Linked DNA regions of Lonchura striata. The protein of the gene in region 1 purifies or fractionates together with the protein of each later gene. This does not show direct contact. Links are inferred from orthologs where the notes say so. Each region holds a gene or a part of one and is shown in the gene's direction. Other genes may lie near its edges.

Evidence for each region. The genes of interacting proteins can lie anywhere in the genome.
Region 2: the proteins of ARHGEF12 (region 1) and GNA13 purify together in Homo sapiens (affinity purification with western blotting; 3 studies listed by BioGRID). This does not show direct contact. The link is inferred for Lonchura striata from reciprocal best matches to the Homo sapiens genes ARHGEF12 and GNA13.
Region 3: the proteins of ARHGEF12 (region 1) and MYO6 purify together in Homo sapiens (affinity purification with mass spectrometry; 4 studies listed by BioGRID and IntAct, counting the BioPlex papers as one, with this or other methods). This does not show direct contact. The link is inferred for Lonchura striata from reciprocal best matches to the Homo sapiens genes ARHGEF12 and MYO6.
Region 4: the proteins of ARHGEF12 (region 1) and GIPC1 purify together in Homo sapiens (co-immunoprecipitation; 4 studies listed by BioGRID and IntAct, with this or other methods). This does not show direct contact. The link is inferred for Lonchura striata from reciprocal best matches to the Homo sapiens genes ARHGEF12 and GIPC1.

Annotation. Positions count from the first base shown.
Region 1 is NC_134625.1:8,620,883-8,628,697, reverse strand, and holds the start of ARHGEF12 (rho guanine nucleotide exchange factor 12), read left to right. Parts: upstream 1-4,787; 5' UTR 4,788-5,238; coding exon 5,239-5,270; intron 5,271-7,815. UniProt on the Homo sapiens protein: May play a role in the regulation of RhoA GTPase by guanine nucleotide-binding alpha-12 (GNA12) and alpha-13 (GNA13). Acts as guanine nucleotide exchange factor (GEF) for RhoA GTPase and may act as GTPase-activating protein (GAP) for GNA12 and GNA13.
Region 2 is NC_134621.1:9,431,259-9,438,971, forward strand, and holds the start of GNA13 (guanine nucleotide-binding protein subunit alpha-13), read left to right. Parts: upstream 1-4,503; 5' UTR 4,504-4,556; coding exon 4,557-4,839; intron 4,840-6,975; coding exon 6,976-7,202; intron 7,203-7,713. UniProt on the Homo sapiens protein: Guanine nucleotide-binding proteins (G proteins) are involved as modulators or transducers in various transmembrane signaling systems.
Region 3 is NC_134605.1:82,985,158-82,992,746, reverse strand, and holds the start of MYO6 (unconventional myosin-VI), read left to right. Parts: upstream 1-4,379; 5' UTR 4,380-4,468; intron 4,469-7,589. UniProt on the Homo sapiens protein: Myosins are actin-based motor molecules with ATPase activity. Unconventional myosins serve in intracellular movements. Myosin 6 is a reverse-direction motor protein that moves towards the minus-end of actin filaments.
Region 4 is NC_134623.1:2,225,441-2,233,344, reverse strand, and holds the start of GIPC1 (PDZ domain-containing protein GIPC1), read left to right. Parts: upstream 1-4,694; coding exon 4,695-4,964; intron 4,965-6,711; coding exon 6,712-6,897; intron 6,898-7,904. UniProt on the Homo sapiens protein: May be involved in G protein-linked signaling.

The DNA of each region.
Region 1 (7,815 bases):
GCACTTTGGCAGCTGATAAGTCAACAATGTAAAAGATCCTTAGAAAAATACTAAAGGAAGGAATCTAACAGATCAAGGTACATGGAAAAGTGTCTGTAAAGTAATAAAGGTTTACAGGTAGATAATTTTGTATGGGAAGAAGGAAGTTTCAGCTTCTGCAGCTTCTCAAATGTTACAAACCACAGATTTTCAGCAGAGTTGTGCTGTTTGAATTGTGCTTTGTGTCAGGAGATTGAGATCTCTCTAGTGCCACAATCCTCAAACGTGAAAAGAAATTATATTCTCCATTTCTTTAGATGTTACCTCTTTCTTTTTAATCCCCCGTCCTGCCAGAGGATGGAGAAAGAGAAGGAAACTCAGGGCACGATGTCCAGCAGATTCCTCTGCCCTTGCTGTTTTCATGATGCTGATGTGGAACAAAAGCTCAGGGCTCTAAAAATGCTGACTGCCCGTGGATTATCCAGGTTTAGGAACTGTAATAAGCTGTCACTGTAGAAGCTCTGCTAGATTAGGATCTGTGTCTCAAAATCAGCAAAACCCTGTGTCCCAATACCAACTCTGGGGAATTTTCAGCATTTCCAAAACTGCAGGACAAGCTGTAGGGAGAAAATCTGGTGCCTGTTTTAAGGTGGGAGATGAAAAAAGGTTTGGAAATAGTGCAGGAATGTGGAACACAGCACCAATGTAATTGTGTTTTCTGGGGTTAAGTCCTCTGCTCCATAGGCACATTTGGGAAATGAACTTGGGAATCATTTCCCCTGTGCTTTTCCCCTCCAAGGTGTAAAGGTTTGGCAGCTGGCTTCCAAAAGCAGCAGAAAAACAGGAGCTGGCTGAGCAATTTGTACTGAGTGTAAAGAACTGTTCAAAATACCTGAACATTCTCTCACTGGCTTGAAATTGATGATTTGTAAGGAGCAAAAGAATCTTTATTTTTGTGGTGGAGCTCAGCGAAACTCAGCCGATTATCCCATCTGAAACACAAATTGAAATTTTTTTCTGAAAGAAAAATGCATCCAGGCACTGTTTATCCACACTTAAAACCTTAAAGCATCACTTTTTGCTGATTTTCCTCGCTGTTTATGCTGAGCTGACAGCGGTGCAAACCCCCCTCGGAGCTCCACGATCCCAAAGCGCTTGGAAATGCTTTTTTTTTTTCCCAAATTCCTGAGTTTTTACCTGCCCGGCAGCTCAGGTTAGAGGAGCCATTCGAGGCTTTCCCAGCAGATGGCAACAGCTCCTCGGTGCGAGCCTGGGAAAGGGGATTTGGCCAAAGAATCCTCACACTTTATAAATTTATTTTTACAGGAGCCCCTCTAAAGCACCTCCAAGGATCTAACCGTTATTTTAAGGCAAAATAAGAATGGAATTGTACTCCTTAGGAATGAAACTCCTCAATTTTAGGGTCCTGCTTAGCTCTGCTATGGACTAAAAAAACAGATGGAGGAGGTTGATTAGAGAATCACAAAATGGTTTTGTGTTGGAAGAGACCTCAAAGGTCATCTTGCTCCAACCCTCCTGCCATGGGATGGTTCTGTGTGTAAATTCAGATCAAGTGACAGCTTCAGAGCGCCAAAAAAAAAAAAAAAAAAGTAATGGGCACACTGTAATTACTTATTGATTTCCCTACCCCATATTTCAGGCTGTAAAACAGAATTATCATAAATGGACATCTATCTTAATCTAAATATGTAACCAACTCCCTCCAAAAAAAAAAAAAAAAATCAGCATTTGCAGAGAAGAGAAGTAGAAAATCTATGTCTTAGGATTTCCTCCAGCTAATTGTTCTCGTTATGTTGTCATGCACAATAAAATATAATTAAAGTAATAAAAAAGCATTGAGGCCTAATATGCAAATGCTGGGCCTGCCAGGAATCAGATCTCCCAGGATCTTTCCCCTCTCCAGGCACAGTACTCGATGTTCCCAAAGTTAAAAGCAGGGAGGGATTTATTGCAGAGAAGATGCAATAAAGAGATATATAATAAATAAATATAGATATATGGAGGCATTCAGTCACTTCATCAGCACTGATGACTCTATTGCACACAGCTGCAGAAGGAGAGGCAGACGTGGCCGCTTGTCTCACACTCCCACACTTTATTTATTTATTTTTCCCCCCACCAAGCCTCCGTTTTCCCCAAAAGGAAACCAAAAAAGGAAGTATAAATGTCCTGCGCATATATGTGAAATATCATGTAGAAAATGATTTCATCCCACGCTTCCCCTCTTTGCTCTGAACTCCATCAAAACAACAAATTCTTCGGGCGCTCAGACTTCGGGCTGCCGGCTTCCTGATGCGCGCGGCGAGCAGGACACAGCTCCGTGTTCCAGAGGTACGGTCCCGTGTGCCCAGCCAAAACCTTTCTTTTCCAGCCTCTTTCCAAGTCCAGTGTCCCAGCTTTGAAGTCTATCCCGGCAAGATTAATTAAAGGGAAGAAGCGTGGTGTCCTAGATGATTGGGATTAGCTAATAAGGTTATTTTAGTCTGCTGGCATTTTGCTGGAGGAGGCTGATGTTCTGTAAGTTCCTTTGTGCAGAGGGGCAGGAATTACTGGCAGGGGAGATATCCTGCTTTTCATTCCACATCTGTGCTGCTCACGAGCTTTCATTTCTGGAGGAGTAGCGTGGAAGTTTCCTGAAGTCCTCAGGTGTAGATGTTATTTCCAGGTGTTTGAGAACAAGTGGCTTGTAGTGCCAGGACAAGGGGGAACGGCTTCACACTGACGGAGAGTAGCTTTAGGTGGGATATGAGGAAAAAATAATTCCTTGTGGGGGTGGTGAGGTTGCCCAGAGAAGCTGTGGTGGATCCTTGGAAGTGTTCGAAGCCAGGTTGGAGGAACCTGGGATAGTGGAAGAAGAACCGTGGCAGGGGGTTGGAACAAAATAATCTTTAAGATCCCTTCCAGCCCAAACCATTCTGGGATTCTGTGCAGACTTGAAACAGGAATTTCTCTCTCAGACCGTGTACATGAACAGCAGGGAGTTACAGCAAGGACATGTTTGTGTTCAGCCTGTGGCCGAGAGAAGGAAATCCTCACCTGCTAAAATTTAAATGCCCCAACACCCCGCGTGGCTCATCTTTTGGCACTGGAAGTTTTGAAGGGGAGCAGGAACAGGCCCTTGGCCGCAGTGTTTCTGGAATGTACGTGCAGGGAGGGATCAGTTCTTGGATTTATGCTGCCCTTAACCTCCAAGAAAAAATTCCCTTTGAAACTTGCGTGGGAAATGCGGGGAACGCGGGATGGGACAACGAAAGGCCTGGGAGTGAGCAGCACAGCCCGAGGCTCCGCGCTGCACAGCTCCTGGCACTTCTACTCTTTTAATTTGCTGCTTATTTATTTTCTTTCTGCTCCAAGTTTCGCCGGTGTCATATTTTCCATGGAGATGGAGGCGCGGGCGCTCCCTGCCCTGAGCGCTGGTGACACGGCAAAGTGTCGGATAGCAGGGGATGGGGAAAAAAAATAGGGAAAAAAGGGAAAAAGGGATAGAAGGAAAAGGGAAACCTCCTCGGGCTAGGGATGCAGGGGGATGGGGGAAAACGGAAAAAGGGAAAAAGGGGTAGAGGGAAAAGGGAAACCTCCTCGGGTTAGGGACGCAGGGGGATGGAATACTGTTGGGCAGGGGATGGGGAAATATGGAAAAATGGAAAAAGGGATAGAGGGAAAAGGGAAACCTCCTCGGGTTAAGGACGCAGGAGGATGGGGAAAAATGGAAAAACGGGTAGAGGGAAAAGGGAAACCTCCTCGGGTTAGGGACGCAGGGGGATGGAAAGCTGGGACACAGGGAGAGGGAGAAGCGGCCGCCACCGAGCGGAGACGAAAGGAAACAGCCCGCGGGTCTGGAAAACGCTTCCCGAAGGGAAAAGGCCTGGGCAGGGACCGGGAAAGGGCTGCGAGAGAGGAGGAGGAGGAGGCAGAGAAGGAGGAGAAGGAAGGGAAGGAGGAGAAGGAGGGGAAGGAGGAGGAGGAGAAGGAGAAGGAGGAGAAGGGGAAGGAGGGGAAGGAGGAGAAGGAGGAGGAGGAGAAAGAGGAGGAGAAGGGGAAGGAGGAGAAGGAGGGCAAGGAGGAGAAGGAGAAGAAGGAGGGGAAGGAGGAGGAGGAGAAGGAGGAGAAGGAGGGGAAGGAGGGGAAGGAGGGGAAGGAGGAGAAGGAGAAGGAGGGGAAGGAGAAGGAGGGGAAGGAGGGGAAGGAGGAGGAGGAGGAGAAAGAGGAGAAGGAGGGGAAGGAGGAGAAGGAGGGCAAGGAGGAGAAGGAGAAGAAGGAGGGGAAGGAGGAGGAGGAGAAGGAGGAGAAGGAGGGGAAGAAGGGGAAGGAGGAGAAGGAGGGGAAGGAGGAGAAGGAGGGGAAGGAGGAGGGGAAGGAGGGGAAGGAGGAGGGGAAGAAGGAGAAGGAGGAGAAGGAGGAGAAACAGGAGAAGGAAGAGAGAGGGAGGAGGAAGAGGAGGAAGAGGAGGGCGGGCGGCGGAGGGATCCGGCGGCGGGGCGGAGCGGCCGGAGGTACGAGCCCCCCGGAGGCGCCGGGGAGGGGCGAGCCCGGCCCGGCCCGGCTCGGCGCAGGCTCCCGGGACGCGCCGCTGCCGCCTCGCCCAGCCGCGCAGCGCCGGGGCCGCCAGCGGGCCGGGAGAGCAGCGCGGCGCAGAGCGGCGCAGGGCCGCAGCGAGAGGCCGAGCGGCGGGGCATGGAGCCCCGGGCCTAGAGGCGGCCGCCCTGCCCGAGCCCCGCGGGCGAGGCCGGGCGGGCAGCGGGGATGGGCCCGGCCGCGGGCGGGGAGCGCCGCCCGCCCCCCGAGCGCAGCCCCTGAGCCCGCACGGGCCCCCGCGCTCGGAGCATCGCCCGCCTCTTCACGAGGGTTTCTTCTTTTTTCCACCCCCCGCCCGCGTCCGCCGAGGTTGTTTTGTTGATTATTTTTGTTGTTGTTGTTGTTGGAGTTTTTTTCCTTGCTGGAGTTTTTGCTTTATCCCCCCCGCGCCCCACTTCCGTGGTTTGGATATTCTGGGTGACTGCAAAGAAGAGTTTTGGAGTTGTTTTGGATTGGGTTTGGTTTTTGTTGGTTCTTTTTTTTTTTTTTTTTTTTTTGTTCCCTTCTCCTGCCCTTGAACTGAGTTTGTCCTCTGTGCATGCCTCTTCTGGAGCAAGGCTGGATCCTGAACCTCGGTGCATGTAAGGGGCAAAGCCTCGTTCATATTCCTGCAAGAAGAGTAAAATGTAAATTGGATAATACGACTTCTTGCCAAAGGCTCCAATGAGTGGCACACAGTCCACAATCACGGACAGGTCAGTATAAAATGAGATTCCTTGATTTTTTTTTTTTTTTTTCCTTTTTTTGAAGTGTGACTACCCGCAGAGCTCACGTACTTCGTGTTCTGGCTTCAGTGACAGACGGGATCAGAAAAGCAGGATTAAATCAGAGGCTCTGGGAGCCAAGGGTGTCTTGACTGTCAAAGCGACTGGGTTGACTTTGAAAGCGGAGTATTTCAAGTCCAACAGCTTTCAGGCCTGCCAGGCTGACTTTGTAGGAGCCAGGGGTGCTAACTCAGCTCCCAGGATGGGCTGGTGCTGCGGGGAACACCGAAAGCAAGGGTTCCTGCACGGAGCTGGAGCAGCAGAAGCCACCAGAATTTAGTATCCAGCTCAAGCCTGAGCTGGGAGAGCGTGTTGAGGATGCACTTGGGTCTCCTTGGGTCAAGTACTGCGGAGAGGTCACTCCAGGTGAGGGCAGGAGGGAGAGTTGACAAGCAGGAATGTCTGCTGGTGTCTACCTTAGCAGGAACCTGCCTTCAGATACCTGCTTGAGCCTCTGGGCTGCTCTGCAGGTGCCTTTCATTACCTCTGCAGTTCTCTCGTTTGCACTGAGGTGTTTCAGAGGAAGGGATAAAAAATGTGACAAAAAAAAAAAAAAGTCAAGAAGGAAACATTTTAACGTGCTTTTGGGGCGAATGAGTGCCTTCAGATTTTTTTTGGATGGGAAGGAAAGATACCTTTTTTGACACAGTATGCTGTAAGAACCATTTAATGTGTTTTTTTGTATCTGTATAGTGTCTGGCTGGTGGTTAAGGTGTGAATGAGTGTGGCAAAGGCCTCGCTTTGGCCTTTCATGACCAAGCAGTTCTGGCACAGCAGCGAAGCTGGGGCTGGGATGGAGCAGTGATGCTTTTGGGGGCTTGAGCTCACCAATTTTAGGCTCCAGGTGCAGGCAGGAGAGAGTCTGAGTGTGGTTCTCACTTAAACCCGGCCTTTTCGTGACTCCACAAGTCAGCCCAGTCCAAAGGGCTCTGGGACAGCTCAGACTTGTGTACAATCTGTGTTTACAACTGTTCACAGAGTATTCAATCTTGGCAATTAATTCTGTAGTTTGTACGAGTGGAGTTTTCTCTTTTGCAGTGCATGAATGATTCTTGGGTTGCAGGATGTTTTTCTCTGTAGCAGGCGAGGCAATGACAGTAAAAAGGCATTTCAGTGGATTTGTGAGGATTTTGTTACATACTTCAGGCCATATGTCTTGTGGCAGTTGCATGATATCAAAAAGAACGACAGGATTTTCATCCCGAGGAGCAGCTGAGTGATGCACGGAAAGGAAAAACACGAGAACAGGGAATTTAATTTACTTGTTAGTAAAACAAAATACTTTCCATTATTGAATTGGAGCAGCCAAATAAAAAATGTCTCATTTCCTTTTGCTCTCAGTCATGTCAGGAGGATGTTTCTGTTTGGTGTTCCATTAAGGTTTTGGATCAAAAGGCTTTTAATGTCAGGTGAGGAGCTGTGCCCACAACCCTTGGATTTCTGGGATGGCTGGGGGAATGTGGAGAAACTGGATCTCTTCTTGTCACTATTTTCCACCTCTGGCCTGAAGCAGCCCCAGCTCTGGGGTACAAAGTCATGGTCGTGGTTCTGCCAGGAGAAGAGAAGCTTTGGGGTGGCCTGCCAGGACCTGAAGGAGCCTACAGGGAAGATGGAGAGAGACTATTTTAAAAGGTCTGGAGTGACAGGACAAGGGGGAACGGTGGAAAACTCAGAGGAGGGTTAGATTGATGGTGAGGATGGTGACAGGGTGCCCCTGGATCCCTGGAAGTGTCCAAGGCTGGAGCACCCTGGGGCAGTGGAAGGTGTCCCTGCCCATGGCAGGGGGATGGGAAAGAGATGGGATTTAAGGTCCCTCCCAGCCCAAACCATTCTGGGATTCTCTGATGATTTCTGATTTATTCCCTGGCTGAACCTTTCAGCAGAACCCCAGATGTGGTGGTCGTGTTTGTCCCGATCTCTGCCGTTCCTTTTCATCCCCAGCATTGTGCAGGATTTGATCACTCTTGTCCCTGCAGAACATTCCCCTTTCCCTTCAGGCCCAGGGACTTTCTGTGTTGCCTTTTTCAATCTGCCTCTAGAGCTTAGAATGTAAAGCAGGTGCAATATAAATAATGATGCTTCCACTGTCATTAGATCCATAAATCATCTGACATGTTCAATTCTCTTTGTGTTTGTCAATCACCTTCCTTGGTGGGATTGAGATGGGAATTGCCTTAAACCAGGAAAACCCAGTTTGCATCCGTGCCAGATGGTATTAGGAATATAATAGGGTAGCTTGGGCCTAGATTTTTCTCCATATTAGCTTTACATATTTGTATTTAGCATATATAGAGCTGCCTAAATCCACATTACAGACAGCAGATATTTCCTTTGCTATCCCTGCAATTTAAGGCAGTAATGATTTGACAGCTGTCACATTTCCCTTGTGCAGGTTGCACTTGTCTAATCCTTGACATATTTTATATCTCTTGATATAAATGATCACCATTAAATATAGAAATTAGGAGTGTATGAA
Region 2 (7,713 bases), on another chromosome or scaffold:
CTTAGTCATGAGAAACATTTGAAATGTGGGTCTTAAGTGAGTTCAAAAATAAAATGGTCTTGCAGGAGATCCAGGAAAAATAGCTCTGAGAAGCTCACGCTGAGTTGTGAGCTCTTCAGCCTCACTGAGCTCCAAAGAGTCTGATAATTTTAAATCCTTCCGATCCCCCAAACACCCCCTCACAGGTCAGGTGTGGCGTTTTTTCTATTTCTAGTCTTCTCTGACAAGCTATGATGAAGCTTATGGATATTCCTGTATTTTAAAGCTAGTTTGTGTAATTTCCACAACATGTCCAAGGTAAATTCAGCTTTATTAACATCTGTGAGTGACCCACAGCACCAAACACAGATGAGTTGATATTTCACCTGTGCCCAGGTGAACCGTCCCAGCAGTTAATGCTCTTGGGCAGATCTGCCACATGAAGCACGAGGCATTTAAATCAGATTATAGAGGCTTGTCTAGGGCAGACACTCCTGGGCCTCTAATCACGAAACCCACACTTGTAGAAAGCAAAGAATTCTCCAGTCCTTGATGCAGCCTGGCTGGCATATTTGTTGGTCAAGAAAACAAGGGACTTGAACAACAACAAGAGTGGTGGAGAGCACTGGCAGCAGTCATAAAGGAGATTCCCTCCAGATTTCTGACTCCCTACGTTCACCCTGGCCTTTCTGCCCCCCAGATAATGCAGAAATACATTATCTGGGGAGTGCCCTTAACCTCCTGTTTTGTATAGTAAATGCAGTGGTATTTATGTAGCTGCAAGTTTCCATGGGTGTTCTACCCCACACAGGGTAAAAGCTGCTATAGTGGAAATACCCTTGTGGTCATCACATCCCATCACATCACATCATCACATCACATCACATCACATCAATCACATCACATCAAATCACAGGGCAATGGTGAGTGTCCATGGGCTCTCCAGAGCCCACAGATCCCTGCCAGCCTCTCACACAGAGTGTGTCCAGGCTGGGAAAAGTTCTGCTGAAAGCCGGATTTTATCCCTCTGGTCTCCTTGTGCAGCCCCACAAGCTGTGATTGCTCTCAACAGACTGGCTCTCAATTCTCCAGAGTTTCTCTTGTGGAAAGCACTGCCAAGGGAATCCCCCCCTGACTTTAAAAGGTCACATTTCCTACGTGGTTGCCCCTTTTTCACACATCAGAAAGTTGAATCATCCAACACAAAAGGCATGTGGTGAGTAAGCTACCTTTCTATGTAAGGAAGCTGGGGACGCCCTGAGGGGAAGGAAGGGGTAACAGTAAGTGAAACAAGTGGCAGGTGGGGGCTTGGTTTTAGCACTTGGTTCCTTCCAGGAAGATTTCAAAGCAGTTTGCTCAAAAAAAAAAAAAAAAAAAAAAAAAAAAAAAAAAAAAAAAAAAATTGTGCAAACTGTGGCATAGAGAGAGGAGTGACTTGAGCTCAGCTCTGCCAGCAAGGCAATGGTTAAAGGAATATCCCCAGAGTCCATTGTCCTGCCTGGTGGGGCACAAGCACTCAAAATGAGAAGTTTCCTTAGCAGCCTCATGGGAAGAGCTGCTGGGGCAAACGGGCAGCATTTGTTTCCCGTCGTTCCTGGGCTTTCCAGGAAAGCTAAGGAAAGAAGTGGCAAAGAGGAAGGAAAAAAGCCAAGCAGAGCAAGACCTTATGCACCCTGCCTTAGAGATGGAGCCTGGCTGCTGGGGTGGGAGGATGCAGCTGGCTTCACAGTGACCTGGGTGGTGCGGAGCCCTCTCCAGGGAACACGGTCAGGCAGGGCAGGAACAGCCCCTCCCTGGCTGGGAGCCAGGCTGCTGTGCCAGCGCACGGAGTGGGGGTTTGGAGAGCTCCCCACGTGAAGGGGAGAGCAACGGGGAGGTCAAGGACTCCCCAGCACTCAAGTGGCTCGATTGGAGAAACTCAGGAGTCCTCTGCAGCTAGGGAGGTAAGATGAGAGTTGAGACAAATATCTTAAAACTTCATTTTAAAACTGAGACCAGAGCTCAGGAATGACTGGCTTCCACATCTGTACCAAGAGTAACAGGACGTGCTCCTTGTATTAATTTTGTACCACATCCTGTTCTCCTACAAGAAATGCCTTTTTTTTTTTTTTTTTTTTTTTTTTTCTGGTAAGCCCCTTTGAAATAATTCCCATACAGTTTTATCTCCATGTGGGACCAACCTAAGGAGAGAACACTGATGCGCTTTTCAGATTTTGAAGGTCCTTCCAGCTGAGGCCAAGTAACATTTCCTTGTTCTAAACTCACCTCACAGTTTCACATTTATCTTTCCCTTTTTCTAAGTTATTATTAATGTTGGGGGGAAAAGCAGAAAAAGATTAAGAGGAAATTTCAGCAGATATCAAAGACTAGGAGATGTAAGGAGAGACAAATGTTTAATGCAATCTTTGCACTACTGATGGTAGTTAAAGTTAATTTATTAAAACAAATTACTAAGCTGTGCTTAGGGCTGTGTTGAATGAAGTGTGGGATTTTCAGTCCGTGAGATTTTCAGTCCTTGCAGGTCCCTCAGCCTAAGATTTGTTCTACTCCTCACATGAAGGATTGCCATTGAAAATAAATCTTTGCTCCTTTTAACTCGGGATCAGCTAGAGTCCCACTCTCTTTTGCTCACTGTGCCTCGGGAGAGGTTGGACCCAGGCTGTTTGTTCAGCTCGGTGCTGCAACCCTGCAGCACTGGGAAGCTCTTCTCAGCCAGGCAGTGAGGAAGGACATGCCAATTTTTCAAATGTTTTAACAAAACAGCTCTCTTTCTGCAGCAAAAAGAAAACCTGCTTAGCTGGCAAGCACCATCCTGCCCCCCTGACTGAGGGCTGACCTCCCTGGGCCGCTTGCCCAGCAGCTTCCCTGCATCCACGGGGTCGGGTGAGCCTGGGGCTCCTTTCCATGGAACCTCAGAATCCCAGATTTGTTAAAGCTGGAAGGGACCTCCTAAGATCATCCAGCCCAACCCCACTGCCTAAGCAGAGTCATCCAGGAACACGTCCAGGTGTGTTTGGAACATCTCCTGAGAGGGAGGAGACTCCACAATCTCTCTGGGCAGCTGTTGCAAGCCTCTGCCTCCTCCGTGGAAAGTAGTTCTTCCTCATGTTGAGGTGGAACTTCTTGTGTTTTAGTTTACAGCCATTGCTCCTCATCCTGTCACAGGGTACCACTGAAGAGTCTGGGACCATCCTCTTGGCATTCCCCTTGGAGATATTTATATGTATTGATGAGATGTCCTCTCAGTCTTCTCTCCTAAACATACCCATGAGGAGCCAGGGACAAGGACAGGGACAGGGACAGGAGTGGCTGTGTCAGTTCCTGTGTCCAGTTCTGGGCCCCTCAGTTCAGGAAGAAGATTGAAGGGCTGGAGCGTGTCTGGAGAAGGGAATGGAGCTGGGAAGGGGCTGGAGAACCAAGAGCTGCTGAGGGAACTCAGGGGGCTCAGCCTGGAGAACAGAAGGTTCAGGGGGAACCTTCTCACTCTGTAACTCCCAACAGGAGGGTGCAGCCAGGTGAGGGTCAGGCTCTGCTCCAGGGAACAAGGGAACAACCTCAAGCTGCTCCAGGGGAGGATGGGGTTAGATATTATGGAAAAATTCTTCACAGAAAGGGTAATTAGACATTGGAATGGACTGCCCAGAGATGTGGTGGAGACACCCTGGAGGTGCTGAAAGACTGGATATGGCAATTGGTGCCATAGTCCAGTTGACAGAGGTGATTTGTCACAGATTGGGCTGGATGATCTCAGTGATCTTTTCTAACCTAATTGATTCTGTGTTTCTATGATTTAGTCTCTTCTGCCTGCCTGCAGTGAGAGGATGGGTGCACATGGCCTCAAGGTGGGAGATTCATTAGATTAGGAAAAAAAAAGTTATGGTTAGGGTGGTCTGGCAATTGAAAGGGCTCCCAGGAAAGTGGTAGAGTCACCATCCCTGAAAGTGCTTGAGAAACATCCAGACCTGGTGCTGAGTGATGTGTTTTTATGGATGCTGGGTGGGTGGTTGGACTGGATCTTAAAGGTCTCTTCCAAACCTTTATGACTCCATGAAGCCCACCTTAAATTTATTTTCCATTACAAAGCACATTAAAATTATGATCATGTGCATCTATAAACCTTTAAGTCCATTACACAGCAGCACCCTGTGCCTGAATGTTCTTTCACTGTGTTTCCTCGCGAGCAGCCTGGCACCTGCCAGGAGGCACAGCCTGGATCTCCTCCAGGAACGGCGCTGAAAAATCGCGATTTCAAGCTCCACTTCAAGGCGACTCGGGGGCTTTCTTGAGGAGAAGGCGGTGTTTTACAGGTGAATTGCCAGTCTGGCTACGAGGATCTCAGGGCGCTGGGAAGGGCAGTGAGGCAGCCGGCGCAGGAGCAGGCCCGCTCCTGAGGGTCCCTCCCGCCATTTCCTGTGAGGGGCCGGAGGGGGCGGGGCCGGCGCGGGGGGCGGGCCCGCGCTCGTCACGCGCCGGGCGGGAGCGTGCAGGCGGGCGCGGCGCGGCGCGCAGGCGCGGTGCGGGGCGCGCGCGGCGCGGGCGGCGGGCGGGCGCTCCCCTGGCTGGCAGCGCTCGCTAAGATGGCGGATTTCCTGCCGTCCCGCTCCGCGCTGGCCGGCTGCTTCCCCGGCTGCCTCCTCACCAGCGGCGAGGCCGAGCAGCAGCGCAAGTCCAAGGAGATCGACAAGTGCCTCAACCGCGAGAAGACCTACGTGAAGCGCCTCGTCAAGATCCTGCTGCTGGGCGCGGGCGAGAGCGGCAAGTCCACCTTCCTCAAGCAGATGCGGATCATCCACGGGCAGGACTGGGACCGCGCGGCGCGCGAGGAGTTCCGCGCCACCATCTACAGCAACGTGATCAAGGGTGGGTGAGGGCGGCGGGGACGGGCGCCCTGCGAGCGCCGGGCCCGGCCGGGCCGGGGCGGGGAGAGGCGGCTCGGGCGGGTCCGCGGCCGCCGCCGCCTGCCGCGCTGTCCCGGCGCCGCGGCCGTGCCCCGGGGCCGGCCCGCGGCGGTGTCACCGCGCCGCCCGCTGCGGCCCGCGGGGCGGCTCCGGCCCCGGGAGCTGCCCGCTTGGCCCTCGGTGCTGCGCTGGAGCGAGGCCAGAGAAGGGCAGCGGAGCTGGGGAAGGGGCTGGAGCACAAGGGGGGGGCTCAGCCTGAAGAACAGGGCGCTCAGGGGTGATCTTATCGCTCTCTACAACCGCTGGAGGGATGTGGTAGCCAGGTGGGGTTCGGGCTCTGTTCCCAGAGAACTAGAGATAGGACGAGGGGACAGTGTGAAGCTGCACCGGAGGAGCTTTATGCTGGACGTTCGGAAGAATTTCTTCCATTGAGACAATGGGCTACCCAGGGGGGTGATGGAGTCACTGTCGTTGGAAGTGTTTAAGGCTGGACGTGGCACTTAATGGCAAGTCTGGTTGACAGGGTGGTATTCGGTCATAGGTTGGACTGAATGATCTCAGAGGTCTTTTCCGATCTAATTGATTCCGTGATTCTGTGATTTCCTGGTAATGCGAGTGCTCTAATGAGCGGTAATGGATGGGGGGAAGATGCACCTGGAAGTGCATGAGGAGGAGCCCAGCCCTTTGCTTTCAGCGTTTTGCTGCAGTGGAAATCGCTGCTCGGCTGACACATCAATTAACTGCAACCCGCAGGCAGAGCCTCTCTCATAGATCCTTTGCCAAAACCTCCACACATGGTTTAGGGGAGTAGTGGACGCTTGATTTCACTACTGTCATCCTGGCTTCATTGGTCGTCTTCACGCATTTTCTCTTACCTAAATTGCTCCTTGGATATTCAGTTTGGACTGTGTAATAGTTGGAGCAGATCTTAATGAAGTTTCTCAAAACAGCACAGTGTTGCCAGACTCAGCTCCTGAAAATCCAGCAATTCTCAAAGAGAGTTGTTTTACAAACCTGCTGATGAATCAAGCCTGGAAAAACTACTTATAGCAGTAGAAGGCAGTAGAAATCATGCACATGAATCTCAACCAGGTTAAAGTTTATTGTTAAAGCTACTTCATGCTCTGTGAAGGTATACACATAGGACCTGCACATCTGTCTGGGACGCTCTTTTCCTGCAGTCACAGATAGATTTGACAGATACCTACCTGCCTTTGACAGAGAGAAAAACCATGGAAAAGGACTGAACCTTGAGAAAACACCTTGGCATCGAATGAGTATGTTACTGAACAGTCATTTGTTGCCACATCTTAATTTCCTTATATCTCTTCCCATGCCTTTACAGTTGCTTAGTCTTTCTGGATTTTTATTTTTATTTTTTCGTCAGCAAATTCAATACTAGAAATAATTTTCTTGCAATATGAGGACAGTTGATTTATATCCTTCAGAAGGACTCTGAAAAGAAGTTTAAAATGCTCTTCTAGAAAATATTTACCAAAACAACCACACAAGTGCAGGGAAGCCTTTAGATGATACAATTCCTCTGCACTTAAGCTATAGAAACATATTTTTAGCAAGTGCAATGATTTTAGTACATGTCTTAGTCTCTCTGAAAATATGAAAGGCAATGATAGAAATACTGTCAGTGATAGAGATTCTTTGTATAATTTGGTATGACTGGATACCAAGTTTGTATTCTTCACAAAACTTAGAGAACCTTAAAGCAAGACATCAGGTGGTTTAACGTATTTCGAAATAAACTTTTAAGTATTCCTTGTCTTGCACTCATGCCAAGTGAAAGAATTTGGTAGCAGATAAACTTAGTAATTAAAAACAGCACATTTTCAAGAATTAAATTTGCATCCTGTTGATGGTAGTCATGTTCTTGAGATAGCAAATCCGGGGTTTGCTGCTACCTGTATATGTAGTGGTTTGAGTCAGTTTTTTGGCTTCCTGATTCCCTGCCCATCCTGGGTGGATGTTCCTATTGAGCTTTGTGCAGAGCAGGTGCATTGTTCGCCTCAGTGCAGATCCGAAGCCTGGTGAAACAGTAGATGCTGAGAAACTCTGCTCACAGTGTCCTTCCTCGTCATTGCAGGTGTGCGAGTCCTGGTGGACGCCAGAGAGAAACTCCATATCCCTTGGGGAGATGCTGCCAACCAGAGCAACGGGGACAAGGTGATGGCTTTCGACACCCGCGCGGTCACCGTGGCGCAGGGCATGGTGGAGACCGGGGTTTTTTTGGACTACCTGCCAGCCATCCGAGCCCTGTGGGCAGACAGTGGCATCCAGCACGCCTACGACAGGCGCAGGGAGTTCCAGCTGGTAAGATTTGGCCTTCAGTGTCTTTAACTGCCCCTCTGTGATTTTATTCCTGCCTCGATTCTCTGAGAAACGCCGACCAAGCCGCTTCCTTAGCGTTTTTGAGTTTTCTTACTCTGTGGTGTTGCACACAGCTGCATTTAGCTACTTCCCCCCACTTTTTTTTAATAATAATAAAAGAGGTTCTGATGTAATCGTCCTCATTTCATATGTGGGAAAGCTGAAGTATTGAGGGCTTTTAAGTTTTGGAACAAAGCTGGTACCTGCACGGTTTTTTTGCCATATGATTATTACCACCCTTTTATTAACTGGTGCATCAACTTAAAAAACCAAGCCAAGCAAAAAAAGATGGTTTGTCAAAAAAAGACATGCTTAATAGTAATGTGATTTTTAAAGAAAAGATATGCATGGGTTAATGAGAAGAATTTAAAAACCACTCCCTTCTCTATTCCAGTTTGAGCAATCTAGCAAACATTCCCTCTGTATACTTCCTGTTTAATTTTGAATGTCTGTG
Region 3 (7,589 bases), on another chromosome or scaffold:
GGGATTCCCCTCCTTTCATCCTATTATTTATGCAAGCCTTGTTCTCTGGAGCTACCCACAATTCAAAATAATCTATTTGCTTAATTGAATTATCCTTTAAGGAGAGGAAATTGAAAAATGGGGCCAGTCCAAGAGACTTACTCTCAGCCAAAAAACAGCTTCAGAAACCTGTCACACATTGCTAGGGGTGAAAATGCGAAACCATCGATATTCCTAAACTAGCATGTTGTCAAAGAAAAAACTACTCACAAATTGAAATTAAACAGGAAGACTTTAAATAGGAACTCTTACCTTAGAACATAATGTCTAAAATTTTTTGTAACTTGTATGCGTCTGTTGAAATACAGATGGCCTGTGGAAAGTTAGAACATTAAAAAATATTCAGGCATAGTTAAAATAGATGTTTATGCAAACTCTGCCAGAAAGATGAAAAAAAAAAAAGGGATCATTTCACTACTGTCAAAATTGGAGACTTATGTATGTGCACATAACTTAAGGAAAAGGGAGCAGATAATATAAGACTTACACATTTATTTCCAGTAAATAATTTACATGATAAGGAAATTAACGGTGCTTATCTAAAGTAAGCCTGCTTGGAAAGAAACCAGAGATTGATCCTGAAAGGAACGTCATCTACTACTGCTAAAATCCCAGCAAATTTTCTTGTTCTTTCTCCTAATAAAAGCTGCTCAACCTTGAGCCAAGTTAGAAAGGTTCTTTTGCAAACATATGAACAAGCTATTCTTTATCCAGACAAATAATAGATAAATTGTGCTGGCAGCTTCAGTAGCCACATTTGCAAACTGCATTGGTAAGTCCAAAACTGTTCTATAACCAGTGACTTTAGTTTTTATCAGAAACTGACTGTAAAACTATAAAATAATTTTTGGGGAGTATCTAAGTGCTAAACCAAAATACTCAGCTGTTAGGAAATGCCAAGAGTTGCTGCTGGCAAGCTGTGAGGTGTTTTACTGGGACCACATTACACAGATAAAGTGTCATTACATCACTCTCATGTACACTTAGAGTATGCCAACAAAACAGTGTAAAGAAAATGAACTTCTGGCCTCACATTAAGCTGTGACTTAAGTCAGTGCCCATGGACATTTTTACAGGCAGAACTTTATCCATTACATGTGATGTGTAAAACAGTTGTTGCTATGTGGAATCCACAGGGAAAGCTAGCTAATATCAACATGATTCAAACACAAGCATTCCACCTGGAGATATGCATACAGTAAAGGCTTGAAATCAATGTCAAACCAGATTTTTGCATTTAATTTTTCATTATAAAGTGTGGAGAGAGAAACTGAGCAGTTATGATACTAAACATTTAAGAACAATCCTCTCAGGAGTGAAATTTTTAATGCAAGTATGAGAGCCTTTACCTTTTCCTATTTATATTGAATCGTCTGAAGTTTGATCCATTGAGTTATACACAAAATTCACTTTCAATGAAATTAAAGTAAGACATTGTATAATATTCTTTGAAATGAAAACGCATGTAATATCCTCTCAGGGTTTTCTGAGAAATTACCTGGAGTCCCTTACCTGCCCATCCTTTCAAACTGGTATTCATCAAGGCCAGGCTGAATGGGGCTTAGAGCAACCTGGTCAAGCATGTGTCTCTGCCCATGGCAGTGGGGCTGGAACTAGATCATCTGTAAGGTCCCTTCCAACCCAAATCATTATGTGATTCTGTGAACACAAACTTAATATCCTCTCAGGGTTTTCTGAGAAATCATCTAGGGTCCTTTACCTCTCATTCATCCAGACTGCCATTCAACAGCTCTGACAAATATAGTGGTTCCTACGTTAACACATATTTTAAAAAAATATATGGCAACTTTAATGACAAAAGCTGTTTACTATCCATAGCAACCTGGATTCATATTAAAATGTTCTATTTTAATAACTGGGTGTATGACATTTGAAGTATTGTCAGTTCTTTGTGGCAGAACTACAAGAGGTGCACGTGCATGTCAAATGTCAAAATGTGGTGCTGCCATGTATTGTTGATCTTCCACCTTTGGAATGCTTGTGGAATTCCTTGTAGGCCATCCAGAACATGGAGTTTGCACACTGGAGATGGTGTTTTTATAGCTCTGGTTCCTCACAAGACACCCTCTTGCTGTGGTGTGTACAGTGTGAGCCTGCCCTGAGTTCCAGCAGCACGGACACGCCACCTCTGCGGTTGTCACTTGGCAGTGGAGGCTTCTCCACTGCTGTTTGCTCTGCCTGGTGCACTGAGGTGTGGGAGGAACAGGGTGATGCTAAAGGCACTCTGCCCTCCCCCCAGCCTCAAACTGCATCTGCTCCTCATACAGCTATTAAACAAAGCAGCTGTAACCCGTCTGCACTGTTCCTGGTGTTCTGAAAAGTCTCAGACTGAAGTTACAGAGGTTCATCCAATTTTCCTAGGAATGAAACTGGAAATGCTCCTTACATACAGGCAATGGGTACACTAAAACATGTTTTGCCTTTTCTTCTCTTTCCACTTTCCCCCACTTTTTGCTTAGGTTGAAGTTCTTGCACTCTGATTTCGCTTGTGAGTCTTCCTGTATTTTCCCTGAAGATTCACAGAACAGATGTTGCTGTGTCTTGGGTTATTTTTAAACTTCCCAGGGAGAAAAGAGGGGAGAAAGTAGAGACATGCTTCTTCCAATGAGGGAGAGGCACATCAGAGGGTAAGACAGTGCTCAGCACTGCTTGGATTGTTTACACTGTAAGTGTTTTGTTGATAGTTTCCTGACATTATATCCTGTTTTGCTAACAGAGGTGGTTAGCCAGTCACCAAATTTACATTTTCATTCACTTGTCCATGCACTTTTTTTTCTCCCAGATAACAATTATCCTTATCTCTCTTTTACAAATAAAAGTAAGGCTGACTGTACAAAGTACTGAAAGGTAATGCCAAAGACAAACTTCAGTGCTCTAGAAGTTATACAATGTTTTGATTGTCCAAATTGTCAAACATTCTAAATTATGTCAAGTGAAGATGCAACCATCAAATTTACCTTAATACTTGACAGTCATGTGGAATGTTTTAAAGACCAAAACAAGTTCACAGCACATTTCAGGAGTTGTAGGAATGTTAATCTGGACGCAGGATTGAACTCCACCCGTACTCCACACAGGATGCAGGATTACTCATGCATCTAATGTACTGCCATTTTCCTTCCATGTGTACATCCACTCTGATCCTTGACAGAACCCCCTGAGTTTCTCTAGGTTGCCCCTAAAGAAGCCCCTGGGATTTCTCTTTGTCCTCTGAAAGAGGCTAAGGCGTTGTTACGACAATCATGTCTACATGGGCAGCTATGGCTTGAAGAAATCTATGTAAATTATTTATTAGCTAGTGGCTGTACCCACAACGTCCCTGGTGTTGTCCAAACACTCAAAAAGGATGCAGTGAAACACACCTTGCTTAAAGAAAGGTAGCTGGGGCTGCAAAATCAACGAAAACACAAGATTTTGAAGTATTAACTGGTTTGTTTCACTTTGTCAGCAAAAGACGTATGAACGAACCATCGGGTGGAGAGCGAGGAGGCTTTGCACGTACAGTCGGGGTCATTGTGCTGCTCATGAACCATTGTGGCGAGAGAAGCACGGTGCTACGGGAAAGCTGACAAACCAGCTGGCGACGCCAGGAATGAATCGCGGTAAAGCCAAGGGACAGGGAGGTGACGCAGAGCTGCGGCTCGGGAGGGGTGGCTGTGGGTAGCCCCAGCGGTGTGACGCCCCGGCCGAGCATGATGCAACGATGCAATGCCGGGCCGCTGTCCCCGAGCCGCAGCAGCCGCAGGGATGGATGGCTGGGTGAGGCACACGCCGGGGCAATCCCGCGGAGCCGAGGCTGCCCCGGCTGCCCTGCAGGAGTGCAGGGGGCACGGGGCTGGCAGGCCACGCTGTTCTGCCACGCAGCAGCGGTGCCACCATCGCTGCTCCCAGCCCTGGAACCTCCGCCCAGGCGGGACCCTGGGGACACGGCAGGGACGGCACGGGGCCGGGGCGAGCCTGGGAGAGGGACCGGGCTGACACAGTCTGACTTCCAAGCTTTGTGCAGCAGGAGAGCCGCCACCTGCTCGGCACCTTTCTTGATGGGGCGACGGTCAGGAATGACCCCTTATGCAACCGCGTCGGTAAAAAATAATGGAAGAGGCCCAGCTCACAAAGTAGCCGTGGCCAGCCCCTCAGCACCACCGTGCGCGGAGGGCGCGGGCTGCGGGCTCGGCGCGGGGCCGGGGCTCCCGCCGGGCAGCCCGAGCGGAGAGAAGGCCGGGCCGGCCTCCGAGCCGCCGCCCCGCCGGCGCTGCCCCCGCCCCCGGCCGGCCCTGTGGCGGTGACGTGCCGGGCCGGGCCGGGCCGTGCCGGGCGGCGGGGGCGGCGCAGAGCGGCGCGGCGGCGGCGGCGGCAGGGTCGGCAGCGAGCGGGGCGCCGAGCGCAGCAGCAGCACCTCCAGCAGCAGGTAAGGACGCGGCCTCTCCGCCTCCGCCGCCCCTCCTACCCGCGGCGGGAGGCGCCGGCCCCCGGCCCGCCGCGGCTGCCCCCGCCGCCCCTCTCGCCCGGGCAGGTGCGGGCCGGGCCCTCGGCGGGGAGCGCTCCGGCCAGCGCACCTCGGGACCGACCTGTGGAACCGCAGCTCAGAATCCCTCCGGAGTGCGCGTTACTTCCTTAAATTAGCTGTCATGGAAATTCTTTCCTTTGTGGGTTTGTTTGGGTTTTTTTAGTATCATCCTCTGTGAAATTCCATCCCTGCTGGGCTCCCCTCCTTGCTTCAGAAACACTTCTGTGCTGGTGGGATCGTCCTTGTAAGTGAAAATAAAATTTTTATAGCCTTTACTGACCAGACACAGTACGACTGGTAGTTCAGTGGAAAAACGTCTTTTCAGTGGAAAAACGTCTTCTGGAGTATTTCTGCTTGAAGTACTTTTTGCAGGCTGCGGTTTGGAGAGCAGCGTGTGTCACCGTGATGTACAACTAAAATCCAATACCCCGTTCCTCTGTCTTGCATCCGTTTCTGAATAGGAAAGCTTGAAACGGTCTCCTTAATGGTCTAGAATACGACCTGCAGTGCAGCAAATGTACTGTTGGTGCTTGCCCGATACTTGGCTCCAATTTACTAGTTTTGAACTAGTAAATGCCACCAAGGCCTGTAGGATGGAGGTAGCTGAACTAATAGCTGGCTGCTTCTGTAAAAGGATGGTTGTCATCTGTTGTTTCAGCGAATACTGCTGACTGCCAGCCCTGTTTTTACAAAGGTGCAGAGAAGTAGTACGTCGGGACTTGTGCCCTGTGGTGCTCCCGGAGGGAACAGACCTTTGAGGCGACCTAATTCCTCACAGTTCAGTTGGCATCGCCGGGCTGCGGGGCGGCCTATGGACTGGGTTCACAGCCATCCGAGTACAAAGGTTGGCTGCGGGACTGAGTCTTCCTTCTTTTACAAGTGTGACAAATTAACAGGGTGGAGATGAACTCGCGAGTTAAATGTCATCTGCGTTTTTTTAACTTTATTTTTTAGCGGAAAAAAAAAAAAGCGCCTAATAAAAATAGAAATATTTTAATTTTTTAAATGTTAATTATGAAAATTTAAAAGTATAGGCAAATGTCTTGCAGTATTTGTTTAAATATAATAAAACTGCTAACACACAAGTTAACTCTTAAATGTATGGTTTATAAAATAATTGCAAAAGAAAGATCTCAGTGTTGTTAAGATGGGAGAGTAACTATCAGAATTATCAGAGCACAAGTCCCAAACTTTTGTGTTGTTGCTTTTAATAACATAGAAATTAAGATTTTGCTTGACTGTATTTTTAGTGGATGGGTTTTTAATGTGTCTCAGTTAATAAACTATTTAGTGAAGGCACAGTTATGCCTTTGACTATACAACTATAAAGCCAGCAATGCAAATATAAAGGCAGTAAACTTTCCTGCGAGGCTGAATAGCTTTCTGAATGAAAACCATGTCAGTATTGGCAGAAATTCTAAGTTGAACTAATTTCCCCACCCCCATTATTTCTAGTCAGATTCCTCTATAATCTGCACTAAGTACTGTGTCTTTCAGCCTCCGGCATTGCCATGTGCTTTTGTTTTGATAATAGGTCAGTATTTTGACCCATTAACAATAATGTTCTCATAAGGAAGGTGAAATAGTGCTTCCTTGTGCCTGGTCCACCAGGGTGGAAGTGGCTTTGTGACCCAATCTAACCTTTGCATTTTTGTGGTATTTGATAACACTGGTCTGAGGAAAGATTTCAGGTATTAGAAATTTTGACAGTCTTATGAGTGATGTGGCAAAGTTGAGTATGGACTAACTTTTTATCAGAACAAAATGTGAAAGCATATGATTAAGCTGGCAGGTTCAAAATGAACAAAAGTGGTGTGTTTTTGGTTTTGACCCAATGTGTGGTTAGTTAAGCTTTGGAAATCCTTTCTGAAGCATGTGGATATTGAAAGTTTACAGGGACTTTAAAAGCAGCCGGACAAATTAATGGAAGAAAAACCCACTAAGGCTAACTTGTGTGGAGTACCTGAAGTAGCTCAGGGTGTCACCAAGCTGAGCACAGAGCTGGGATAATAGGTTGGGAAAGTACTTTCAATTATTTATCAAATTTATATATTAATTTCAGGCATTAACATAGTGCAGACAACAGATCTGCTGTCTGACCCAGTAGGACTGCTCTTAGGAAAATTGTTCAACTGAAGTGAGTTTTTGAGAACAGCTGAACCAAAGGGACGAGGTCGAGAGATAACAACTCTGAGTGATAACTCTCAGGAAATGACTATGAGTCACCATCAAACATCAGTTTAAATGGTGCTGGGGGCAGTTCTGGCACCTTTGTACTTGTTGACATGGATATCTTTGATCAAAAGAATTAGCACAAAATATGAAGGAGACTGAGTAGTGCTTTCAGACTGTGTTTTTGATGCTCTGCTTTGGAGAACAAGAGGTTTCTGATAAGTTTGAAGGCAGTATTTGAGTACAAGATACTATTTTCAGGAAGAAGATCCCATAATGCAGATGGGTAAAGTCGACTTGGCAGCAGTGCCATGGGAGCAGATCTGAGGGTTACGTGGGATCACAAGAAGCACAGGGATGCAGTACTATTGAAGTCCAGCATTTAGCTTTTTCTACTAGTGCAGCTTAAGTTAACAGAATAATGTGTCCAGTTTTGGCCACAGGCTGTTAAGGAATATATATGCTTGGAAAGTATGTTCCACAAAGCTACGCAAGCTCATTTCCAGCAGAAAGAAATTAGATGAGGGGACAGGAAGATGCTAGGGCATTAAATTTAGTGAGAAGTGGTTTGTGTTCTTCTATCAGTGACTGTACTGAAAAAAGATGAAACTAATTTATACCAAAGACTTGATAAAGTTCTTAAAATCTGTTATGCCTTAGGGAAAACTGAAAGAAACTAAGGTTGTGCAATCTCATTTCTGCAAAAGTTTTTGAAAGTCAAATAGGATTTGTGTTAAGGATAAATTAAAAACACCCCTCAAAACTGTTTTACTTGTTCTCATGCAGGGGCTTGAGCTTGATGATTTCTTCAGGTGCTGTCTATATTTGGGCTTGAGCTTATGTGGAAAAA
Region 4 (7,904 bases), on another chromosome or scaffold:
CTTGAATGGGGTTTGGGACCCCTCCCCAAAATTACACAGGGACCCCTCCCCAAAATGGGGTTTGGGACCCCAAATTGGATTTGGGACCCCTCCCCAAAATGGGGTTTGGGACCTTGAATGGGGTTTGGGACCCCTCCCCAAAATCACACAGGGACCCCTTCCCAAAATGAGGTTTGGGACCTCGAATGGGGTTTGGGACCCCTCCCCAAATGGGGTTTGGGACTCCGAATGGGGTTTGGGACCCCTCCCCAAAATCACACCGGGACCCCTCCCCAAAATGGGTTCTGGACCCCTCCCCAAATGGGGTTTGAGTTCCCAAAATGGGTTTGGGACCCCTCCCCAAAATCACCCGGAGACCCCTCTCCAAAATCAAACGGGAACCCCTCCCCAAATGGGGTTAGGGACCCCAAATGGGGTTTGGGACCCCTCCCCAAAATCACACCGGGACCCCTCCCCAAAATGGGGTTTGGGACCCCAAAATGGGGTTTGGGACCCCAAATTGGATTTGAGACCCCTCCCAAATGGGGTTTGAGACCCCTCCCAAATGGGGTTTAGGACCCCTCCCCAAAATCACACCGGGACCCCTGCCCAAAATGGAGGTTGGGATCCCAAATTGGGATTGGGACCCCTCCCCAAATGGGGTTTGGGACATCGAATGGGGTTTGGGACCCCTCCCCAAAATCACACAGGGACCCCTCCCCAAAATGGGGTTTGGGATCCCAAATTGGTTTTGGGACCCCTCCCCAAATTGGATTTGGGACCCCTCCCCAAAATCACACCGGGACCCCTCACAAAATGGGGTTTGGGATCCCAAATTGGGATTGGGACCCCTCCCCAAATGGGGTTTGGGACCCCGAATGGGGTTTGGGACCCCTCCCCAAAATCACACCGGGACCCCTCCCCAAAATGGAGGTTGGGAGCCCAAATTGGATTTGGGACCCCTCCCCAAATGGGGTTTGGGACCCCGAATGGGGTTCGGGACCCCTCCCCAAAATCACACTGAGACCCCTCCCCAAAATGGAGGTTGGGATCCCAAATGGGGTTTGGGACCCCTCCCCAAAATCACACGGAGACCCCTCCCCAAAATGGAGGTTGGGACCCCAAATTGGATTTGGGACCCCTCCCCAAAATCACACGCGGACCCCCTTTGGCCACGCCCCTTCACTCGTTGACCACGCCCATCCTCGCTTGGCCACGCCCCTTTACTCGTTGACCACGCCCATCCCCGCTTGGCCACGCCCCTTTGCGCTCATCCCCTCCCCACTGGCCACGCCCCTTTGCGCTCAGACCACGCCCCTTTACTCACCGGCCCCGCCCCTTCTCGTTGGCCACGCCCCTTTGGGCTCCCTCCCCGCTGGCCACGCCCCCACGCGCCATCCCGGCTCCTGATTGGCTGCGCCGCGCGCGGGCCCGGGCGCGCCCATTGCCCGCGGCGGGCGGGGGGGGAGGGGAGGAGCGGCCACGCCCTTTCCTGCTGCCCTCCCCCCCCGCCTCCCATTGGTCCGGGCGGGGCGGGGCGGCGGCGCTGATTGGTCCGGGCGCGGTTTGGCCACGCCCTCCCGGAAGTGCCGCTCCGCTCCGGCTGCAGCGCCCGGCGGGTGAGGGGGGAAACCGGGACCGGAACCGGGAACGGGACCGGAACCGGGAATGGGAACCGGGAACTGGGAATGGGAAACCGGGACCGGAACCGGGAACGGGAATGGGAAACCGGGACCGGAACCGGGAATGGGAACGGGAAACCGGGACCGGAACCGGGAACGGGAATGGGAAACCGGGAACGGGGAATGGGAAACCGGGACCGGAACCGGGAATGGGAATGGGAAACCGGGACCGGAACCGGGAACGGGACCGGGGAATGGGAACGGGAACCGGGAATGGGAAACCGGGAACGGGGAATGGGAACGGGAACCGGGAACGGGACCGGATAGGAACCGGGAACCGGGAACAGGAAACCGGGAATGGGGAAACCGGGAGCGGAACCGGGAATGGGAAACCGGGACCGGAACCGGGAATGGGAAACCGGGAACTGGGAATGGGAACGGGAACCGGGAACCGGGAATGGGAAACCGGGAGCGGAACCGGGAACGGGACCGGACCGGAACCGGGAATGGGAAACCGGGAACTGGGAACGGGAACCGGGAATGGGAAACCGGGAACCGGGAACGGGACCGGACCGGAACCGGGAATGGGAAACCGGGAACTGGGAATGGGAACCGGGAACTGGGAATGGGAAACCGGGACCGGAACCGGGAACGGGACCGGACCGGAACCGGGAATGGGAATGGGAACCGGGAACCGGGAACCGGGAACTGGGAATGGGAAACCGGGAACGGGACCGGGAACGGGAACCGGGAATCGGGAACGGGAACCGGGAATGGGAAACCGGGACCGGAACCGGGAACGGGGAATGGGAAATCGGGACCGGAACTGAGAACGGGACCGGACCGGAACCGGGAACGGGAACTGGGAATGGGAACGGGAACCGGGAACCGGGAATGGGAAACCGGGAACGGAACCGGGAACGGGGAATGGGAACGGGAACCGGGAACCGGGAATGGGAAGTGGGAATGGGAAACCGGGACAGGGAACGGGACGGGATCGGAACCGGGAACGGGAACCGGGAACCGGGAACGGGAATAGGAAACCGGAACCGGGAACGGGACCGGACCGGAACCGGGTACCGGGAACAGGAAACCGGGAATGGGAACCAGGAACCGGGAATGGGAACCGGGAACCGGGAATGGGAACCGGGAACCGGGAATGGGAACTGGGAACGGGAAACCGGGAATGGGAACTGGGAATGGGAAACCGGGAGAGCGGAACCGGGAATGGGAAACTGGGAGAGCGGAACCGGGAACGGGAACCGGGAACGGGAACCGGGAATGGAACCGGGAATGGGAAACTGGGAGAGCGGAACCAGGAACGGGACCGGATCGGGATTGGAACCGGGAACGGGAACCGGGAATGGGGAAACCGGGACCGGGAATGGAATCGGGAATGGGAACGGGAATGGGGAAGGGGAATGAAACTGGGGAAACGGGAACGGGAAACCGGGAACGGGATCGGGAATGGGAAACCGGGACCGGAACCGGGAATGGGAAACCGGGACCGGGACTGAAACCGGCAACGGGAACGGGACTGCAACTGGAAATGGGAAACCGGGACTAAAACCGGGAATGGGACCGGGACCGGGAATGGGGAAACCGGGACCGGGAACGGGACCGGGAGCGAGCTCGGGGGGCCGGGACCACGGGAGGATCTGGGAGGGTCCCGGGGGTGGTCCCGGGATTCGGGGATCCCCCACCCCCCGTGCCTCAGTTTCCCCTCTCGCCTTTCAGCCCCCAGCGGAGCAGAGTGGGACCCCCCCGGGGACACCGGGACCCCCCAAAAACCACCCCGGGGACACCGGGACCCCCAAAAAAACACCCCGGGGACACCGGGACCCCCCAAAAACCACCCCGGGGACACCGGGACCCCCCAAAAACCACCCCGGGGACACCGGGACCCCCCAAAAAAACACCCCGGGGACACCGGGACCCCCCAAAAACACCCCGGGGACACCGGGACCCCCCCAAACCCCCCCGGACCTCTCAAAGCTCCACCGGACCCCCCCAAAACCCTTCCTAGAACCCCCAGACCCCCCCAAAATTCATTGGGACCCCCCCAAAACCCCTCTCAGAACCCCCGAAACCTCACCAGACCCCCCCAAAACCCCCCAAAACTCCGCTGAGACCCCCACTGATCCCCCCAAAACCCAAAAACTCCGCTGAGACCCCCACTGATCCCCCCAAAACCCCCCAAAACTCTGCTGAGACCCCCACCGATCCCCCCAAAACCCCCCAAAACTCCGCTGAGACCCCCACCGATCCCCCCAAAACCCAAAAACTCCGCTGAGACCCCCACTGATCCCCCCAAAACCCAAAAACTCCGCTGAGACCCCCACCGATCCCCCCAAAACCCAAAAACTCCGCTGAGACCCCCACCGATCCCCCCAAAACCCAAAAACTCCGCTGAGACCCCCACCGATCCCCCCAAAACCCAAAAACTCCGCTGAGACCCCCACCGATCCCCCCAAAACCCCTCAAAGCCCCCCCAAAACTCCGCTGAGACCCCCCCAGAAGCCCTCCTAGACCCCTCAAAGACCCCAAAACTCCGCTCAGACCCCCCAAAGCCCCCCAAAACCGCTTCTAGACACCCCCAGACCCCCTAAAACCCCTCAAAGACCCCCCAAAGCCCCCCAAAACCCCCTCCTAGACACCCCAAAGCCCCCCAAAACCCCTCAAAGCCCCTCCTAGACCCCCAAAACCCCTCCTAGACCCCCAAAACCCCTCCTAGACCCCCCAAAACCCCTCCTAGACCCCTCCAGCCCCCTCAAAGACCCCCCAAAGCCCCCCAAAACCACTTCTGGACACCCCCAGACCCCCTAAAACCCATCAAAGACCCCTCAAAGGCCCCCAAAACACCTCAAAGACCCCTCAAAGCCCCCCAAAACCCCTCCTAGACACCCCAAAGCCCCCCCAAACCCCCTCAAAGGCCCCTCCAGCCCCCTCAAAGACCCCCCAAAGCCCCCCAAAACCCCTCCTAGACACCCCAAAGCCCCCCCAAACCCCTCAAAGACCCCCCAAAGCCCCCCAAAACCCCTCCTAGACCCCCCAAAGCCCCCCCAAACCCCCTCCGAGCCCCCCCGGCCCCCCATGCCGCTGGGCCTGGGCCGCCGCAAGAAGCCGCCGCCGCTGGTGGAGAACGAGGAGGGGTCCGGGGGGCGCGGGGGGACCCCGGGGGAGCCCGGGGGGGCCCCGGGGGGGGTCCCGGGGGGCGCGGCCCCCGCCCCCGGCCTGCGGCCCCGCCTGGTGTTCCACACGCAGCTGGCGCACGGCAGCGCCACCGGCCGCGTCGAGGGATTCGGCAACGTGCGCGAGCTGTACGGCAAGATCGGCGAGGCCTTCGGCATCCCGCCCAGCGAGGTGAACTGGGAGCACTGGGAGGGACTGGGATGGGATTGGGATGGACTGGGATGGGATTGGGATGGACTGGGATAGACTGGGATGGGATTGGGATGGACTGGGATGGACTGGGAGGGACTGGGATGGGATTGGGATGGGATTCGGCAACGTGCGCGAGCTGTACGGCAAGATCGGCGAGGCCTTCGGCATCCCGCCCAGCGAGGTGAACTGGGAGCACTGGGAGGGACTGGGATGGACTGGGAATGGGATTGGGATGGACTGGGATGGGATTGGGATAGACTGGGATGGACTGGGATGGGATTGGGATGGACTGGGATGGACTGGGATGGACTGGGATGGGATTGGGATAGACTGGGATGGACTGGGATGGGATTGGGAGGGACTGGGATGGACTGGGATGGACTGGGATGGGACTGGGAGTGACTGGGATGGACTGGGAGGGACTGGGAGGGACTGGGATGACACGCTGACCACCCCAGTGTCCCCATGTCCCAGTGTCCCCTGGTGCTGTCCTGTCGCCAGGTGAGACCCCAGGTGACACTGAGGTGACACCCCAGGTGTGTCCCTGACCAGGTGACACCCCAGGTGCTCACCTGTCCCAGGTGCTGTTCTGCACGCTGAACACACCAATGTCCCCAATGTCCCCAATGTCCCCAATGTCTCCAGGTGACACCCAGGTGTGTCCCTGCCCCAGGTGACACCCCGGGTAACACCCCATGTGACACCCAGGTGACACTCAGGTGACACCCAGGTGTGTCCCTGCCCCAGGTGACATCTCAGGTGACACCCGGGTGACACTCAGGTGACACCAGGTGTGCTCACCTGTCCAGGTGCTGTTCTGCACGCTGAACACACCAATGTCCCCAATATCCCCAGGTGACACCCAGGGGTGTACCTGTCCCAGGTGACACTCAGATGACACCCAGGTGACATCCCAGGGGTGTCCCTGCCCAGGTGACACCAGGTGACAACCCAGGTGACCACCAGGTGTGCTCACCTGTCCAGGTGCTGTTCTGCACGCTGAACACACCAATGTCCCAATGTCCCCAGTGTCCCCAGGTGACACCCAGGGGTGTACCTGTCCCAGGTGACACTCAGGTGACACCAGGTGACTCCCAGGTGTGCTCACCTGTCCAGGTGCTGTTCTGCACGCTGAACACACCGCAGGTGGACATGGAGAAGCTGCTGGGCGGGCAGATCGGGCTGGGGGATTGTCCCCAGTGTCCCCAGGTGACACCCGGGGGTGTACCTGTCCCAGGTGACACTCAGGTGACCCCCAGGTGTGCTCACCTGTCCAGGTGTTGTTCTGCATGCTGAACACGCCAATGTCCCCAATGTCCCCAGGTGTGTCCCTGCCCAGGTGACACCCCAGGTGACACTCAGGTGACACCAGGTGACACCAGGTGTGCTCACCTGTCCCAGGTGCTGTTCTGCACGCTGAACACACCAATGTCCCCAATGTCCCCAATGTCCCCAGGTGACATCCAGGTGTGTCCCTGCCCCAGGTGACATCTCAGGTGATACTCAGGTGTGTCCCTGCCCCAGGTGACATCTCAGGTGATACTCAGGTGTGTCCCTGCCCAGGTGACACCCCAGGTGACATCCCAGGTGCTCACCTGTCCAGGTGCTGTTCTGCACGCTGAACACACCAATGTCCCAATGTCCCCAATGTCCCCAGGTGACATCCAGGTGTGTACCTGTCCCAGGTGACACTCGGGTGACCCCCAGGTGTGCTCACCTGTCCCAGGTGTTGTTCTGCACGCTGAACACGCCGCAGGTGGACATGGAGAAGCTGCTGGGCGGGCAGATCGGGCTGGAGGATTTCATCTTCGCGCACACGCGCGGCCGCCAGAAGGACGTGCAGGTGCTGAAGGACGAGGAGGCGCTGGGGCTGACCATCACCGACAACGGCGCCGGCTACGCCTTCATCAAGGTGAGACACACCTGGGACAGGTGAGACACACCTGGAGACACACCTGGACAGGTGAGACACACCTGAGATAGGTGAGACACAGCTGAGACAGGTGAGACACACCTGAGATAGGTGAGACACACCTGGGACACAGCTGAGATAGGTGAGACACACCTGAGATAGGTGAGACACACCTGGGCACACCTGGGCACAGCTGGGGCTGACCATCACCGACAACGGCGCCGGCTACGCCTTCATCAAGGTGAGACACACCTGGGACAGGTGAGACACACCTGAGATAGGTGAGACACACCTGGAGACACACCTGAGATAGGTGAGACACACCTGAGATAGGTGAGACACACCTGGGACACAGCTGAGATAGGTGAGACACACCTGAGACAGGTGAGACACACCTGGGACAGGTGAGACACACCTGGAGACACACCTGAGATAGGTGAGACACAGCTGGGACAGGTGAGACACACCTGGAGACACACCTGAGATAGGTGAGACACAGCTGGGACAGGTGAGACACACCTGAGATAGGTGAGACACACCTGGGACAGGTGAGACACACCTGAGATAGGTGAGACACACCTGGGCACAGCTGGGCACAGCTGGGGCTGACCATCACCGACAACAGCGCCGGCTACGCCTTCATCAAGGTGAGACACACCTGGAGACACACCTGAGACAGGTGAGACACACCTGGGACAGGTGAGACACACCTGGAGACACACCTGAGACAGGTGAGACACACCTGGGACAGGTGAGACACACCTGAGACAGGTGAGACACACCTGGGACAGGTGAGACACACCTGAGACAGGTGAGACACACCTGGGACACAGCTGAGACAGGTGAGACACACCTGGGCACAGCTGGGACAGGTAACACACACCTGGGCACAGCTGGGTGGGGGCAGTTGGGCAGCACTGGGGCTCAACTTCACCTACAACAGGGTAGTGCAGCTGTGCCCAGGTGTGCCCAGGTGTGCCCAGGTGTGCCCAGGTATGACACAGGTG